Linked DNA regions of Oreochromis niloticus. The protein of the gene in region 1 interacts with the protein of each later gene in a pairwise test. Links are inferred from orthologs where the notes say so. Each region holds a gene or a part of one and is shown in the gene's direction. Other genes may lie near its edges. The genes, in order: dnpep and mpp1.

The links.
Region 2: the proteins of dnpep (region 1) and mpp1 interact in binary tests that used the Homo sapiens proteins (3 or more experiments, as listed by UniProt). The two-hybrid records come from large-scale screens. The link is inferred for Oreochromis niloticus from reciprocal best matches to the Homo sapiens genes DNPEP and MPP1.

The regions. Positions count from the first base shown.
Region 1 is NC_031986.2:20,305,122-20,312,433, forward strand, and holds the start of dnpep (aspartyl aminopeptidase), read left to right. Parts: upstream 1-4,042; 5' UTR 4,043-4,177; coding exon 4,178-4,183; intron 4,184-4,263; exon of another isoform or gene 4,264-4,403; intron 4,404-4,532; coding exon 4,533-4,623; intron 4,624-6,510; coding exon 6,511-6,599; intron 6,600-7,312.
Region 2 is NC_031975.2:8,705,830-8,713,316, reverse strand, and holds the start of mpp1 (55 kDa erythrocyte membrane protein), read left to right. Parts: upstream 1-4,368; 5' UTR 4,369-4,671; coding exon 4,672-4,794; intron 4,795-7,487. UniProt on the Homo sapiens protein: Essential regulator of neutrophil polarity. Regulates neutrophil polarization by regulating AKT1 phosphorylation through a mechanism that is independent of PIK3CG activity.

The DNA.
Region 1 (7,312 bases):
GTTTTCTGTGTCATTGTAGGATTTCCCTGTGTTCCCTGGTGTGTCTTTGTATAATTTAGTCTCAAAATGTCAAATTCATGTCGGCAGGTGCAAAATAAAATCAAGATTATCACATCTGGTCCTTGGTCATCGACCCAATGTCTTGAGCTTATGGACTTTTCTAGTTTCAGTTCCATTTGTCTGTTTGTCTGTCTGTTTGTTAGCAGTCAAGTGTCCACAGTTTTTAAGGTATCAGCTCGAGCTGATTTCATTTTGGGGATAATCAGCTCGAGGTCATCTTCAAACTTCACACCAATACACTATTCCTTGGGGGACACGAATGCCGAGGTTGGCTAAGCGTTTGATCTTGACCTTCATTGCTAGCGCCCAAGGTCAAAGTAAACCATATCAAGGAAAATATGATATGAAAGGGCATGAAGAGAGCTGTTCAATACATGTTTTATATTTTCAATCCGACGCTCTACAACATGACAATGACACTGTAACAGGCTAACGTCAGCATGTTATAATAAGAACATCATAAAACATCAGTTTTAGTATAACCCTTGCCCTTCAGGTGGAGGTGCGCACTCTGGGTGTTCTTGTTTTAGATATTTTCTGGTTATTCTTTCTGTTTGTTGCGTCATGTTTTGCTTTTCCTTCGATCCTGGTTATAGTTTTGGTTTGTTGTTCTTTTTGTATTTTACTGTTTAGTTTAGTAGTTTTTTCAGGAATGTCATTTCCTCCCCTGTCACCAAACATTTATGCAGAAGTCTAATAACCATATGAACTTTGATTAGGAAAAGTTCTGTCATCCCATCATGTTTTTGTCAGATAATTAAGCTAATCAGACGTGAATGTAGAAACAGTTAACACATTCATTTCTGACCAGGTTAACAGGAAGAAACACATTTCTCAGATTTGTTTTTATTAATCATTTTAATGATTATTCTTGTAGACTTCTATTATTACGTCTATTGTGGCTGTATGAAATGAATCAAATTCATAGTCTTTTGTAGACTCAGCTAGCACAAGTTACCACCAGCTTTTGGAAAAAAACAGATTTTTTTACATTTATATTTTTAAGTTTTCTTTCAAGTCTGTAAATAAATCAATTTAGATTAGTCAGTCCACTGAATTGCCATGAAAATAGACTTAATCCTCATCCTTCCACCTGACTGTTGAGCTCGTGTAGCTGAATGTTGGGTCTGTTATGGCCAACACCACCCTCCATGCTCTGGTGTGGACGGTGCAGATGCTAACAGACCTAACAAACCTATCTACAAGGTCAGTAAGGTTGTGGAAATGGAGCTTGACTCCTTAATGAAGGTGTAAGAAACACTGATAAGCCTTCAAACTGTCTCAATGAGGCGCTGGACAGTTTAGAAAAAGTCTTTACACCATGATGCACTACAGCAAATCTTTCCTACCTGTGGTTATCAAACCACACAACACCACCTGGATGTGCTACATCTTGTTTATATAGTTCATGGCATTGCTCACCTTTGGAGTATTTATTTTAATATACTGCACCTTGACCTGCACCTAGAAATGTATCCCTCTGGTAGGTCATTAGTGTCCTCTCCAAGAGCAAAACTGGAAACTAAAGGCAATGAGGCCTTTAATTTATTCAGGTCCATTAGCACGTCTAGTTATTATCATTATTGTTATTAAGTGATTGCAATTATGGCCTGATGCTCATACCAAGAAATTATTCTAACAACAAATCCTCCAAATGAAAAGTCACAGCAGTTTTTGATTCTCCATGCAGGCATTCCTGATTGATGAGAGCAGTGCATTTCTAGTAGGGAACTGGAGTTAAGTGCTCATGTTGTATGTTGATAGGATTAGAAAATGTCATGGTTTGAACTGGAACAAACTCGTTTTTACTATGTTAAACAACTCAGTTTTCTGTGTTTCTGTCATGGTCCGAAGTCTGGTGACTCCATGTTTATGTTTTGTGTTTATTAATTTTTTAGAGTTTTCTGTTTTTTTTGTTATTTTTCTTCCAGTGTTTAGGTATTCTCTGTGCTCCCCTTGTGTTCGTGTCATTTTACTTTGACGGTCCCTTGTCTCATGTCTGTGTCTCTAGCCTTGACGCCCTTTAGTCTCGTCAAGTGTGATCAGTCCCAGCTGTGCTCTCCTCCTGTGTCCCATTCCCTTCTCATCCCTCAGTGTATTTTAGCCCTGTGTTTCTCTCTGTCAGTGTTGTATTGTCCCCTCATGCTGTGTGGGTTTCTCCTGTTGTGCTCCCTGAACTCGCCGGCCCTGGTTTCCCCGTTTTTTGTTATTAGTTTCTAGGTTTTGGTTTGGTGTTGTAAGTGTAAGTTGTTCCACTGCAATAAAGCAGCCTCATTCAGTTCATCCCTGTGTTTTGAGTTCTGCATTTGGGTCCTTCCTCCTGCCTGCCACAGCCGTTTCATGACAGTTTCAAGTGCATCTTTTCATCCATCCAACCATTCAGGCACTTAAGCGGTGGAAAGACTTCAGTGACGTTACTGCTGTTTGGGGTTTTCTAAGTTTTCTTTTAACTTTGTTTTTTGTTGCATGTTTGTTTGATTTGTTTATTGTCTGTCAGCAGGATTGCACAAAAAATGACTTGATCAAACCTTGGAGGAACTTTGGCAAAAGAAGAATCTGTCTAAGAATCAACTATCTAACTATCTAAGAACCAGTAGTTATTCTATTTTCTACCACTTATCCAGTCCAGTCTGAAGGTAACTACTCTACATATATTTCACAACCACTCTGTCACTCTGGCCACTAGAGGTCGCCTAACTTTAAAACATAACTGTAAGCTTTCCCTAATTGATCTATCCTGTGATTTTCTGTGTGAAGACTATTCTAAATCCCATACGATCTGAATGCGTTCAGCACTTCCATTGCAGCTTGTTGATCTCACATCTATTAATAAAGTCTGAATGCGAATGTGTGAGTCTATGTATTTTCATCCCTCTGGGCTTCCTCAAGAGCTGACAGCTGAAGTAAACCTCTCTACAGCATTTTCCGCCTTTCCTCCTCTTCCTCCTCCTCCTCCTCCTCCTCCCTCAGTGTTCAGGACTATATAAGGATGGTTCCCCTGGTGATACAGTGATGAATGGCAGCATGGTGGGGGGATGGAGCATAAACACAGAGGTCTCCAGATAGAAAATAAAACCAAATGAGAACAAAAAAGAGGGCGATTTGGCTCTCTTAGTCTGCCTAATGAAACACAGAAGTCTCAACAATGCATTGCAATTTTAAATCTATTATTGGCACTGCAAAAAGACAGAAAATGATGGATTTTAGGAATTTAGTTTAAGCTCTTGTCAGTATCTGAAGCCTCTGGATGCTGTTGCTTTTGGTATTATTTTAAAACAGCTGATTGCTGTGCTGATTTTCTCTGTAGCTGTGTGGGTGTTAACACAAATATCTGATCAGCCAATAATATTAAAGCAATTCCCAAATGTATCTAAACATGGTCAGGATGACCTGCTGAGGTTCAAACTGAGCATCAGAATGAGGAAGAAAGATGATTTAAGTTTGGATGGGGATGCATGGTTCTTGGTTTGAGTATTTCACAAACTGCTGATCTGCTGGGATTTTCCCACACAACCATCTCTAGAGTATACAGGCAATGGTCAGAAAAAGAGAAAATATCCAGTGAGCTGCATTTATGAGGGAGAAAATGTCACAAAGCTTAAATCATGTCAAACTAGTTTCTTGAACATGAGCTAACTGTACTAAAATAACCTCCACAGTCAACAATAGAGCACCTGTGGTATGTGGTGGAACAAAAGATTGTCATCATGGATGTGCAGCTGACAAATCTGCAGCATCTCTGTGATGCTGTCATGTTTCTAGCACCTTGTTGAATCTATGCTGTGAAGCATTGAAGCAGCTCCAAAGGCAAAAAGTGGCTCCAATTTGGTACTAGCAAAGTCTACCTAAAAAATGTCCATTCAGTATATGATAAAGTAAAATATCTCATAAAAGTGACCCAGTATAAAGTGTAATGACTGATATTAATAATTAAATGAAGGAATTAGTCTGAAAGCAGAGTCCTGTGAGAGTGACTGTTCCATTGCGCCTCCTGGCCGCTGGATGTCGCTGCTGCGCTGTTTGTGACTCTGCACCTTTCTCCCTTTCTCCGCCGCTGTCAGCTAATCTGTCGCTGCTCGTCTTCTTTGTACCTCTTCATAATATCAAAGTCCGGTTAATGCAGGTAAGTGCCATAACAATGATTACTGTGGATGCGTCACGTGGAGGCGGTGCTTCCTCACCTACAACTGTGTTGACTTTAGTCGACACAGTTGACACAGACGCTGAAAGCTCGGGCTGTCCTGGTTAGGTTAGCTAGCAAAATACAGTTAGTTCCATTATCGGACAAAAACAGATCCTGCATAAAAACTCAACTTACAGTCCGAAGTTGAAACTAGAGGCCGGTATCTGGCTATTGCTAGTTGTTTGTCATGATTACTAAGATCTTGCTAGCTTTGCTGTCTCGTTTACTATGATCAAGTTGTTCTTTATTGCGCACATTTTTCACACTTTTTATACTTTTTCCCCTTTAGTCGCTGATCATGAAGAGCTCCAAAGAGGCCGTGCAGTCAGCAGCCAAAGAGTTTCTGCAGTTTGTCAACAGAGGAGTGTCTCCATATCACGGTAAAGTCTGCAAAACTCTGGATTTATCCCTTCAAATGTAATAAAATCTGTATCATATGGAACTCACGTACGTGGCAGCGTTTAATGGGTTTTTTTTTCAAGTTCCAAACTGTACCGAACCAAACTCCGTTCATAAATCTTTGAATTTAAAGTCCTGTTTAAGGTCAGCACCCGTATATATGAGGTAAAGTATTATTGTAAACCTTCTCTGTGTTGCCAGAAGCAGGCTTTTAATTCGGCGACCATGTTTAGTTCATAGTAAGCATAATAAGAAAAAGTCCAACTTTTTAAAAATGTTGCTGGTGCATGGCTGTTGTAGCTCGCTTATTGAGTCTTACTCGCATATTTACATTGGCAGTACATTAGGGCCCCAGAAGGTAAATGAATAAATGGGGGGGGGAAAGGAGCTGGATGAGGTGGCTAAAGATTTGAGGAAAAGAAATTTGGAAATTTCAAGATTAATATTGCAAATTTACACAAAAAATGTGCATGTGGTAAACATTGCCACCCATTTATGAGGGAAAGAACTACCAAATTTACAAGGAAAAACTTGTAATTCATAAGAAAAAGATATAAATAAAATTCTAGCAAGGTAGACAAAAAAATAAAAAATGCTTTAGAAAAAAAATCCTCCTACAAATTCATGAGGAAAAAAAGGCAATTTTCAAGAATATTGGCAAAATTAAAAATTAAAAAAGGGGAAATTTCTGAGAAAGAACTGGTAAATTTACAAAAGAAAAAACTGAAACAAATACATGGGAAATACTTAAACAGGTAAAAAAAAAGAAAAAACACCATTAAATTAACAGAAATCTACTGAAATTATTATTGAAAATTATTTATATTGAAATTATTGAAAAATTAAGCATTTATTTGAATTTACCATTGCTTTTATAATAAATGCACAGCTGGAATCTGAGGTTTATTTTCTGACTCTAAAGAGAAAGTTTTCTCATTTAATAAAGTTCATTTAACAAGCAAAGTAAGTAAAACAACTGCAGTAAAGCAGGTCCAGCCACATACCAACCAGTTCAGTATGTTGTGTATGACACATGCATTATAGGAGTCCAAAGTGTGCCACTCTTTTCTTTGTGGTGTAATTTTAAATTTGACACCTGTTTTTCCTCCGACCGAGTGTTTTATGCTGACAGTTTGTTGCTTTTGTGCTTTAAAACCAGTGAGAATCAGTGAGGAGAAGGCAGCAGGTTGAGTTTGATAGGAAAGACAACGAGTGTCTCTCTGCTGTAATCAGAGCATAAACGGGCTCTCATGTGTCAGCATTAACCAGCTGAGATGCAGTTCAGATCGCCTTTGAGCCAGAGAGATAAGATTGAGATGGAACAGATATTTCATCATGTCTACAACCTTTGCCCTCTGAACTCTGAACTCTGTCCCCAACAACAAATAAAGAACCAAAGAATTAAAATAAGTTTTCAGTCCCATAACAGGAATAAAGTGCAAAAGGTAATAAAGTTTTGCACTTTTTTTTGTTTTTTGTTTATTTCGGTAATTTAATTATTGAATTGTTAGCATCTTCTAATTAGGTTTCATACACTTGGTTGAGAAGAGATAGACACTTAAAAGTCATGTCTTTGCTCTGAAACTCATCTCTACCTCATTTTAGGCTTAACAAAATCTGAGTTTTCACTAGTTTGAAAAACAGCTGAAAAATGGCTCCCATTGATTTACTAAGGAGTAATTAAATGTGACAGTGAGGTCTCTAAAACTCAGACTCTGTTGTCTCAGTACTATTGTCAGCGTTGAAAAGTAACTATGACAAACAACGCCCAGCACTGACAGTAAGGCATGTAGTCACACTGCAAAGATCAGTTTGACTTTAACAGAAACAAATAAACTTCATGTCTCCTCCGCTTTCTCGCCCTGCAGTGGTTGAAGAATGTCGCCGGCATCTGCTGGAGGCTGGGTTCATCGAGCTCAAGGAGACGGAGCAGTGGGACATCAAGCCAGCCAGCAAGGTGGGGTAAAAAGTAGTAGAACGGAAATCTAAATGGTTTGCACAAGATTGCACTCTCAACTGTATATGCTGAAATTTCTGAATTTTTATTTGGAAAATCTGACAATGTTCACTAACTAACCAAGGGCGTTTATTTTGGAAGTATAATGATAAATGTCTGTAAAAGTCTAGGGCTTTTGTTTTGAAATTCTGACATTAGATTTTGTTTTGAGAAAAAGAGACCCTTTAAAGTATCCTGGTAAATTTCTATAATTTCTGAAGTCCTTTACCTTGTCTGTGTTGTGTGTATGTCAGGTAGACTTTTAATACGCAGGAAAATTATCTTATTTCTATAATTTTATTCATTTTCTGCAACAATTGAGGGGTTTAATTTTCAAAGTTTTGCATATGTCTGAATGTCCTTATAATTTCCCAAAAGTAACTGGGGACCTTTTATTTTGGAAAAAATGACCCTTTAAGATATTCTGGTGAATCTCTATAACAGCTGAGGGTCTTTTGCTTCGAATATCTGACATTCATTTCACGTCCTGACAAGTTACTGTAAGTAACGAAATTTTTTATTTTGGAAAAGAATAAGAACACATTATTTTGAAAATGTGTTTATTATAACTTAACAGAAATCTCAAAGTGGGGGCATGATGCCTTCCTATCATAATAGCTTCCTGACAGAAGCTTTTATTTTGAAAAATGTGCATATGTATGTTTCCTCCTATA
Region 2 (7,487 bases), on another chromosome or scaffold:
TATGAACCTGATGGATATCTGCAGGAGAAACAGAAATGAAGCCCAAATGTAGCTTGCTGACCCTTTATAAGACAGTAAGAGTCCGGGTCATGTTAGTGAGTGGACAGCTGATAAAAACCTGCTTGCTGGCTCCCTCTGGAGTTGAAACTGGCACTCCATCGGGGAGCTTAAACTCATTAGCTGGCTTAATACCTATTTTCTTGCCTCCTGTTTACCACACTGTTTTTTGTGCCACGCAATGAAGAGTTGGCAGCACGTGGTTTGTTTATACTTTGCATATACAAGAGGGTTTTGGCAGGTGGGGGAACTTTAAGTTCCAAAAAGTGATTTCCGGTATTTGCCAAAGAATTTTTGTCCGTATTTAAACTTTTGTAAATAACTTGTGGGCCTATAATCTGTGAAACATATGTCAAATATATATTTCATGAATGATATCAAGTCACTTTGAGCCAGAAACAATATCCTTGCCACAATATAGAAGCCGCAATCTGTTTTGTTGTTGTTGTTGTTGTTTTTTTAAAAGATACTTTTATATATCTTTTATTTATTCCAGTAAAAATCACTGACATTAAAAATGGCTTTTTAAGAGAGATCAGCCCAAGAGGGCAGGAATTGCATAAATAAATAAATAAATAAATAAATAAATAAATAAATGTAAAAAAAAAAAAAAAAAAGTTTTATAAAGATATTTTGAGTGGTCAAAAGGGACTGGGTTGATAATAATGGGGTACAACACTGCAGAGACATAAAAAAAACCCTTAAAAACAGGTCTTTTTTAAATATATAATAACCTTTCATAAATCCTGTTGATTACAGTATATTTAATAATATAAGCAAAGATGTCACACATAAAAAAAAAAACACACAGAAACACCTATTTAGCCCAACACAGAAACACCAGATGGGACACGACTCTAAACAGCTGGTATAAAGGTCAAACTTGGAATTCTTATATTCGGATTGATGACTCCTTCTGGAAGCAAGTCCCGTTAGTCAGCAGCCATGCTGCAACATCTGGGCACTTTTATTTAACTTTTATTTTAATGCTCAGCGGGAAATAAAAACTGCATGCATACAATGTCAAGTCAAATTTGATCAAATTAAATGCTAAAAAGTTTTCTGATGTTGTCCTCAAATAAACTTTTAAAACTTTTACCACCATCTTTGCTGTCACAAAAGTCTCCAATACAATTCACAGTTCTTTCACTGCTCTCTCTATTTTATAATATCTCTGTAGTTACCCACGACCTAACCTACCACAGTCCATCCACCATAACACTACAAACCCATCAGCCTTCACTATCCATCTAAACTTTTGAATATCATGAAATTATTATCATGACATTCCACATTATGAAATAGCCTGGTAACTTCTATATGGTTCAAATGATTGGAAAGTCTAATATGGTTTAATTTAATCTTTTAATTTCCAGTCTTGGTAGCCGGGGATCGGTCCGCCAGGACCTCTGCTCCTGGCCGCCGCCCAGCTCACATTGCACCCGACCCCTACGGTGCCTCCTGTGGGTGGTGGGCCTGCAGGAAGATGGGCCCATGTCCCTTTTTCGGGCTGTGCCCGGCCAGGCCCCATGGACTAAGGCCTGGCCACCAGACGCTCGCCCTCGGGCACCCTCCCCGGGCCTGGCTCCAGGGCGGGGCCCCGGTAACTCTATCCCGGACAGGGTGAACTGTTCCCTCGATGGTATTTTCATAGGGGTCTTCTGAATCACTCTTTGTCAGGTCCCGGGAGGAGGTGCTGGGGCAGACCCATGACACGCTGGAGAGATTATATCTCTCGGCTGGCCTGGGAACGCCTCCGGACAAGCTGGAGGAGGTGGCTGGGGAGAGGGAGGTCTGGGCTTCTCTGCTTGGGCTGCTGCCCCCGCGACCTGGCCCCGGATAAGCGGAAGAAAATGGATGGATGGATTTCCAGTTTATAAGATTTCCATTGTGGAGAAGTACATACCTTTTAAAGACAATTTCTCATCTTCTTTGCCAGGAAACATCTGAAATATATATTTTTGAAAAATAAATGAATAAAAAAAATTTTATGGATAAAACCAGGATTAATTGTGTCAAGAGATTCATTCTAAATGACACTTCTTCAGCTGAGAGTCTAAGAGTGAAGACACACACTGCAGATCTTTACTTGCAAGGGCGGTCACAGAACGCTCACATCAGAGTGGGGGCCCTGTGATCAGTGCTCTGTTACCGCTCTGGTCTTTATTTATATACAAAGCAATACAACAGTGAATACGTCTATTCATAGGCAGAGGAATGTTAGTGCGTGAAGATAAGAGTGGTTCAGGTGTATGTGTGTGTGTTGTGAGATTCAGAAGGACGCGGCCCCTCTTCTTGTTAGGGAGCGCAGATAAAAGTGTCCAGCTCTCCTCTTTCCTGCTTGTTCAGCTATTATCGCTGTGAGAAAGAATTTATAAAACAGAAACAGGTCTTGTAGTGGGCAACAGGCTAAGTCATCAAAAGGTCATCATGCAGTATTCTATCATAATTAAACTTATATCATTAAAAGCTTATACTGACTACTAAGTACAATTTTCCATTTACAAATTGTATCAGAATGATCAGAAGAGAAAAGTATGTCATCCAGACCTTTATATCTTTAAGAGATGTCTATAGTTTAGCTAGTTGATTTGTATCTTCTGGCTTCACGAATGAATAAAGCTGGGAATCATCAGCATAGCAATGAAAATTTATGCAGTGTTTTCTAATAGTATAACCTTAGGAAGGCATGTATAATGGAATGCAATGGAATTGATGATGTGACGGCTGATAGAAGCAGTAGGATGAATTCTGAGTGTACAGGGCTATTCTCTCTGTTCAATGCAATTCAATTCTGCTGTATTGATATAACGCCATTATGTACCAATATTGTAAGGTAAGACCCTATATAATAGAGAGAAGACCCCTACAATTAGATGACCCCTGTGAGCAAGCATTTGGTGATAGTGGGAAGGAAAAACTCCATTTAAACAGGGAGTAGAACTGAGCTCAGAGATGGACAGCCATCTGCTATGACTGGTTGGCGGTAAGGGGAGGAAGATTCAGCCAACTTTCAGCCTCCTCTTCTGTGGAACCAGTTCCCAGTTTGCATTTCGGAGACAGACACATACTCTTCTTCTTCTGAGATTAGGCTTAAAATGTTCCTATTTCAACAAATTGGGGCTGGTTTAGGTGATCCTGAACCCTCTCTTAGTTAATCTGCAATAGCTCTGGACTGCTGGGGGCTTCTCATGATGCACTGATTGTTTCTTCTTCACTCACTTCTGTTTCACTCTCCATGCTGTATTTCATCATTAATTTTAAACTCTGGCTGTCTCCCATGTGTGTCTTTTGTCCTATGCTCTCTTCACGGCAGATGGCTACCCCTCCCTGGTTCTACTGGAAGTTTCTTTTTATCAAGGGAGTTTTTCCTTCCCACTGTCACCCAGTGCTCTCTGCTAGGGGGTTGTCTGATTATTCGAGTTTTCTATTTATTATTGTGGTCTACTTGCAATATAAAGCTCCTTGAGATATAGTGAAACTGAATTGAATTGAAAGCGGTATAATATAAATCTATTTAAAGTACATTAAAACAGTAAAGGAGATGAAATCCATGTGTTTTTGTGAACCAGCCCTCAGTTCATCTGTCAAAAAAAGACTGCATACATGCTTGTATATGTTGTATGTGTACACAGTGGAAATAGACAGGCCACTTTAAGGACGGGGTTTCCTGCTCACAGTCTCCTACAGCTGCAATGTATTAAACCTAATCACATGCAGTGTCCATGTTGCAACACTGATGTCATCTGTAATCACTCAGTAATGTATCAGTAATAGGATCACTCTACTTTCCCACTGATTATTTTTTTAGTGTTTGTTTGTTTGTTTGTTAAATTAGCACAGAGAGACTATCACACTGCAGCTGGGTACACTGTGTTCCAAACTGAAGTTCTTGCAAGCTAGCTGTTGGAATCACCGGGACTACGTTATTTTTTGCTTCCCCTGTAGCCTGAGAGGGTAGCCCTGCTGAAAATGCTGCGGTAATGTTGCATTCCCAGCCTGTGGGATATTTAGCATTTTGTTGGGCTCAAAATGGAAATTGATTTCCGTGTTGGCCCATCAGATTCCAAAGGCTTATTTAGCACCGGTTTCGAATTAGTTTTGTACTAATTGAACTGTATAAACGAAAAAGAAACAAAGAATCTTTAAATAGGTTTCTATGACGCATAGGTAGATGATGTTTGAATAAACACCGCAGTTTAGAGAAAGCCTATAGATCAATAGGGATATACGATGCCAACGTAGAAATATCCAAAGGAAATAACAATAAGAAGCGCTACAGTATCGTTCGTAATTCCCTGATTTCAGCTCATTTTGGGATAAGAACTTTAATTGTGAGATTCCTGAGCTCACACGGGGACCTTGAACGCATCAGCAGCCAGCCCCTCAGAGCACAGCAGCAGTCAGATGCATGTTTACTTGCTTTGTCAGCGGTGTCCCTGCAGTAGTTATCGCATGAACCTCACCTACTGCTGATCAGATCTTTGGACTCTTATCTCCGACAGTGACTTATCTCATAGTCACTCCTTATCAGCAGTTTGTGGCCAGTGTCTTGAGGACTTTGATCGAGGGGGCAAATCGGGTTCACTGTGTTTTTTTTATTTAACGGGAAAGATGACGTTAAAATCCAATAAAAACGATCCCACTGTCACACTGGAGTCCGTGAACAGCGTCCGGACAGCCCTTTCCGATCTCTACCTGGAGCAGCTCCTTCAAAACAAACCAAAGTCTGACAAGGTAAGATGATCTTTTTTTGTATATATATACCTTATTAATTTATTTAGACCCCTCTGATTTCGCTGTTCTTATTTGCTTCCGGGAAGCAGATACGGGGACATGTGATCGTTGTTTATTTCCGAACAAGATCTCTAAGAATAGACCCGTTTATGTTTTCATACTGCAGCAGCTGAATGTGTTGATCTCTTAAACAAAGAACATTTAGATCTTTACTGTGTTAGCAGCTTCTGCATTACTCAGCACTATCGGTCAGCCTCAGCTTGAAATCAGCAGACATTGCTGTGGCAGTTTCAGTTCTCCATTTCTCACAAATTCACGCAAGTATTTTGACAACTTGGGGAAAACATTAGGGAAGGGGTTTTTGGTTTTTTTTAGCCATCATAAGACTATGTTCCTGTATTTCACACAGTAGTATGAACTGTCTCATTAACCAGCTGGGCTTATAGTGATATGAACACATTTAAGAGCGGCAATAAAATCATAAAGAAGTAACTTGTCAGCTGTGAAGTCTTTTCTGGGACTGTGCCTTCATACAGTTTTGAAACATATTGTGTAATTTTGCTTACAGCTTACCCTGAGCCCCTGCTCAGGAATCAGTCAAGTGAAGGTTGTTTACACCACACTGCCAAGCACACTGTTAAACTTGTTTGCGTTTTCCTCCCCTTAAAGATCCTTGACTATGTCATGGAAATACTGTCTTTACCTCTAACAAAGACTAAGCTAACAAGTATGACTGAAAAGATGTTCCAGAAAACATGTAGAATATGTCGGAAGGGACAAAGCCAGAGTTAAATCTCTGGCACACTTTAGACCTGGATTTGATTTCCAGCAGGAGACCGGTGCCTTCTCAGAATTTGAAAAGTCAGCACTGAGCCACTGAGGGAAATGTGAAAGAGAGGAAACTTTATTCCTGACATCAGCAGTTTGCAGTTCAGTAGCCTTGAGTTGCAATCTTGCCTACATATCCTTCTGCTCTGTGTTAATCAGCATGTCTCTAACTGAGGTCTCTAAATGGTTTGTTTAAGGATGATTAATCATATATTGTGTCTTTCTTACTTTCTATTCTTTTCTGTCATTTTTTGCTCCTTTGCACTGAGTTATGCTTCTAATACTTCAGGCTTAATAACTGTGTACTGCCCTACTTAGACAATCATGCATTTAAGGTCTTAAGACAAGTTGGGGCAAGTTGATAAGCGGGACACACAGAACTTTTGGCAGTTCTTTCTTCTTTTTTTCTCCTTTTTTGTGGAAAGCTCATTAACCACACAGTGTTCAAATGTCAACTATTAATCTCCTGCTGTATTTTTCCAAGAGATCAATAGAAGGAAAACAAAAAGCCGTAAACCCTACATTGGGGAGGGCTGATGATTAATATTCCTTTAGTTAAAAACAGCAGATCATGTAAGAAAGATAAAGTATAATCAACTATTCTGTGTTATATTAGACCAGTAACCCAACTGTGTGCAGAAAAGCGAATGGAACAACTGCTATAGATTTTTATGGTGAATTCATTTATCTTGGCACTGATGGTCTTCCTCTACACGCCTGTCACCTTCTATTTTTCACCCTGAAGAGACAAGCCGCTGTTTTGAACGCTCTTTCTTTACCCTGATGCTCCTCCAAACTTGAAACCAGCATTAAAACTATGGCCATGACTTCCTGACCATACTTGTCGAAGGATAGCTTGTTACCAGTTACTGAAGCACGGCTCAAACCTTTAATTAAATCTTGATCTTGTTACACTCCAAGTGGTGGAGCTGACAGAGCTCACTGTCAACATATTGATGAGGTGGGTTTTATTAAAAGGACCCTTTAGTGCTAGTCTAAATCTAATCCCTCAAGAGATCAGAGACATTTCTGCTACTTTCTTCAGACACGTTCAGCTGATTTGTGAGTAAGCGGATTACTCCAGACATTATTGCGGATTCTTTTTTGTGTGTGAAATGAATCACTCTAAGTATAAGAATGTGAAATGAGAAGTAAGATACATATCGTGTATCGGAATATCGCGATTTTTTGTTTTTTAATAAATGGCTGCACGTTTTACAAAATCAGCTTTTCACTCCTTCCTGATGCTGATCACTCCTGATGGCTAACAGCACACACTGCTCATGAATTACTATCACACCTCAGAGAGACCTAACTGGCTGTCATGGCTCCTGCATCTGGCCATGAGGCTCATCAGTGCAGCAGTAGTTTCTAAACCCAGAGGTGGCTTTAGAGCAGCTAAAGTTATTGGTGAGGTGGACAGTGATAACGATTGGATTATTGTAATGCTGATGCTGGAAGGTAGATAATTTTTTTTTTTTTTTGCTGAAGCAGTGCTGATGTGTCATATTCACGCAAGAAAGTTTGCTGATGCAGGCAATCATCTCTCTGATGTCAGTTAAGTGAACGAATTATAAAAGCTTTGATATGGTGCACTCACTGCCCGATCCTGGAGGGCACTTTACTCTCACAGAGTCATTACGTGGTATCTTATCTTGTACTCAGTAGATTTAATGTAATTCCGTAGTGTCTTGATTTGTCAGGGGAGCTACGTGGATTTCTTCTCTTACGGCGATGCTTACACTCTGGAAATAACTTGGACGAGGTTGTCCTGCTATGCTTTTGGTGTAAAAGAATAGCACAAATCTATACATTTGATTTCTGTAGCAAACATTCAAGCAGCATGCGTCATAGTGAATTCGTTT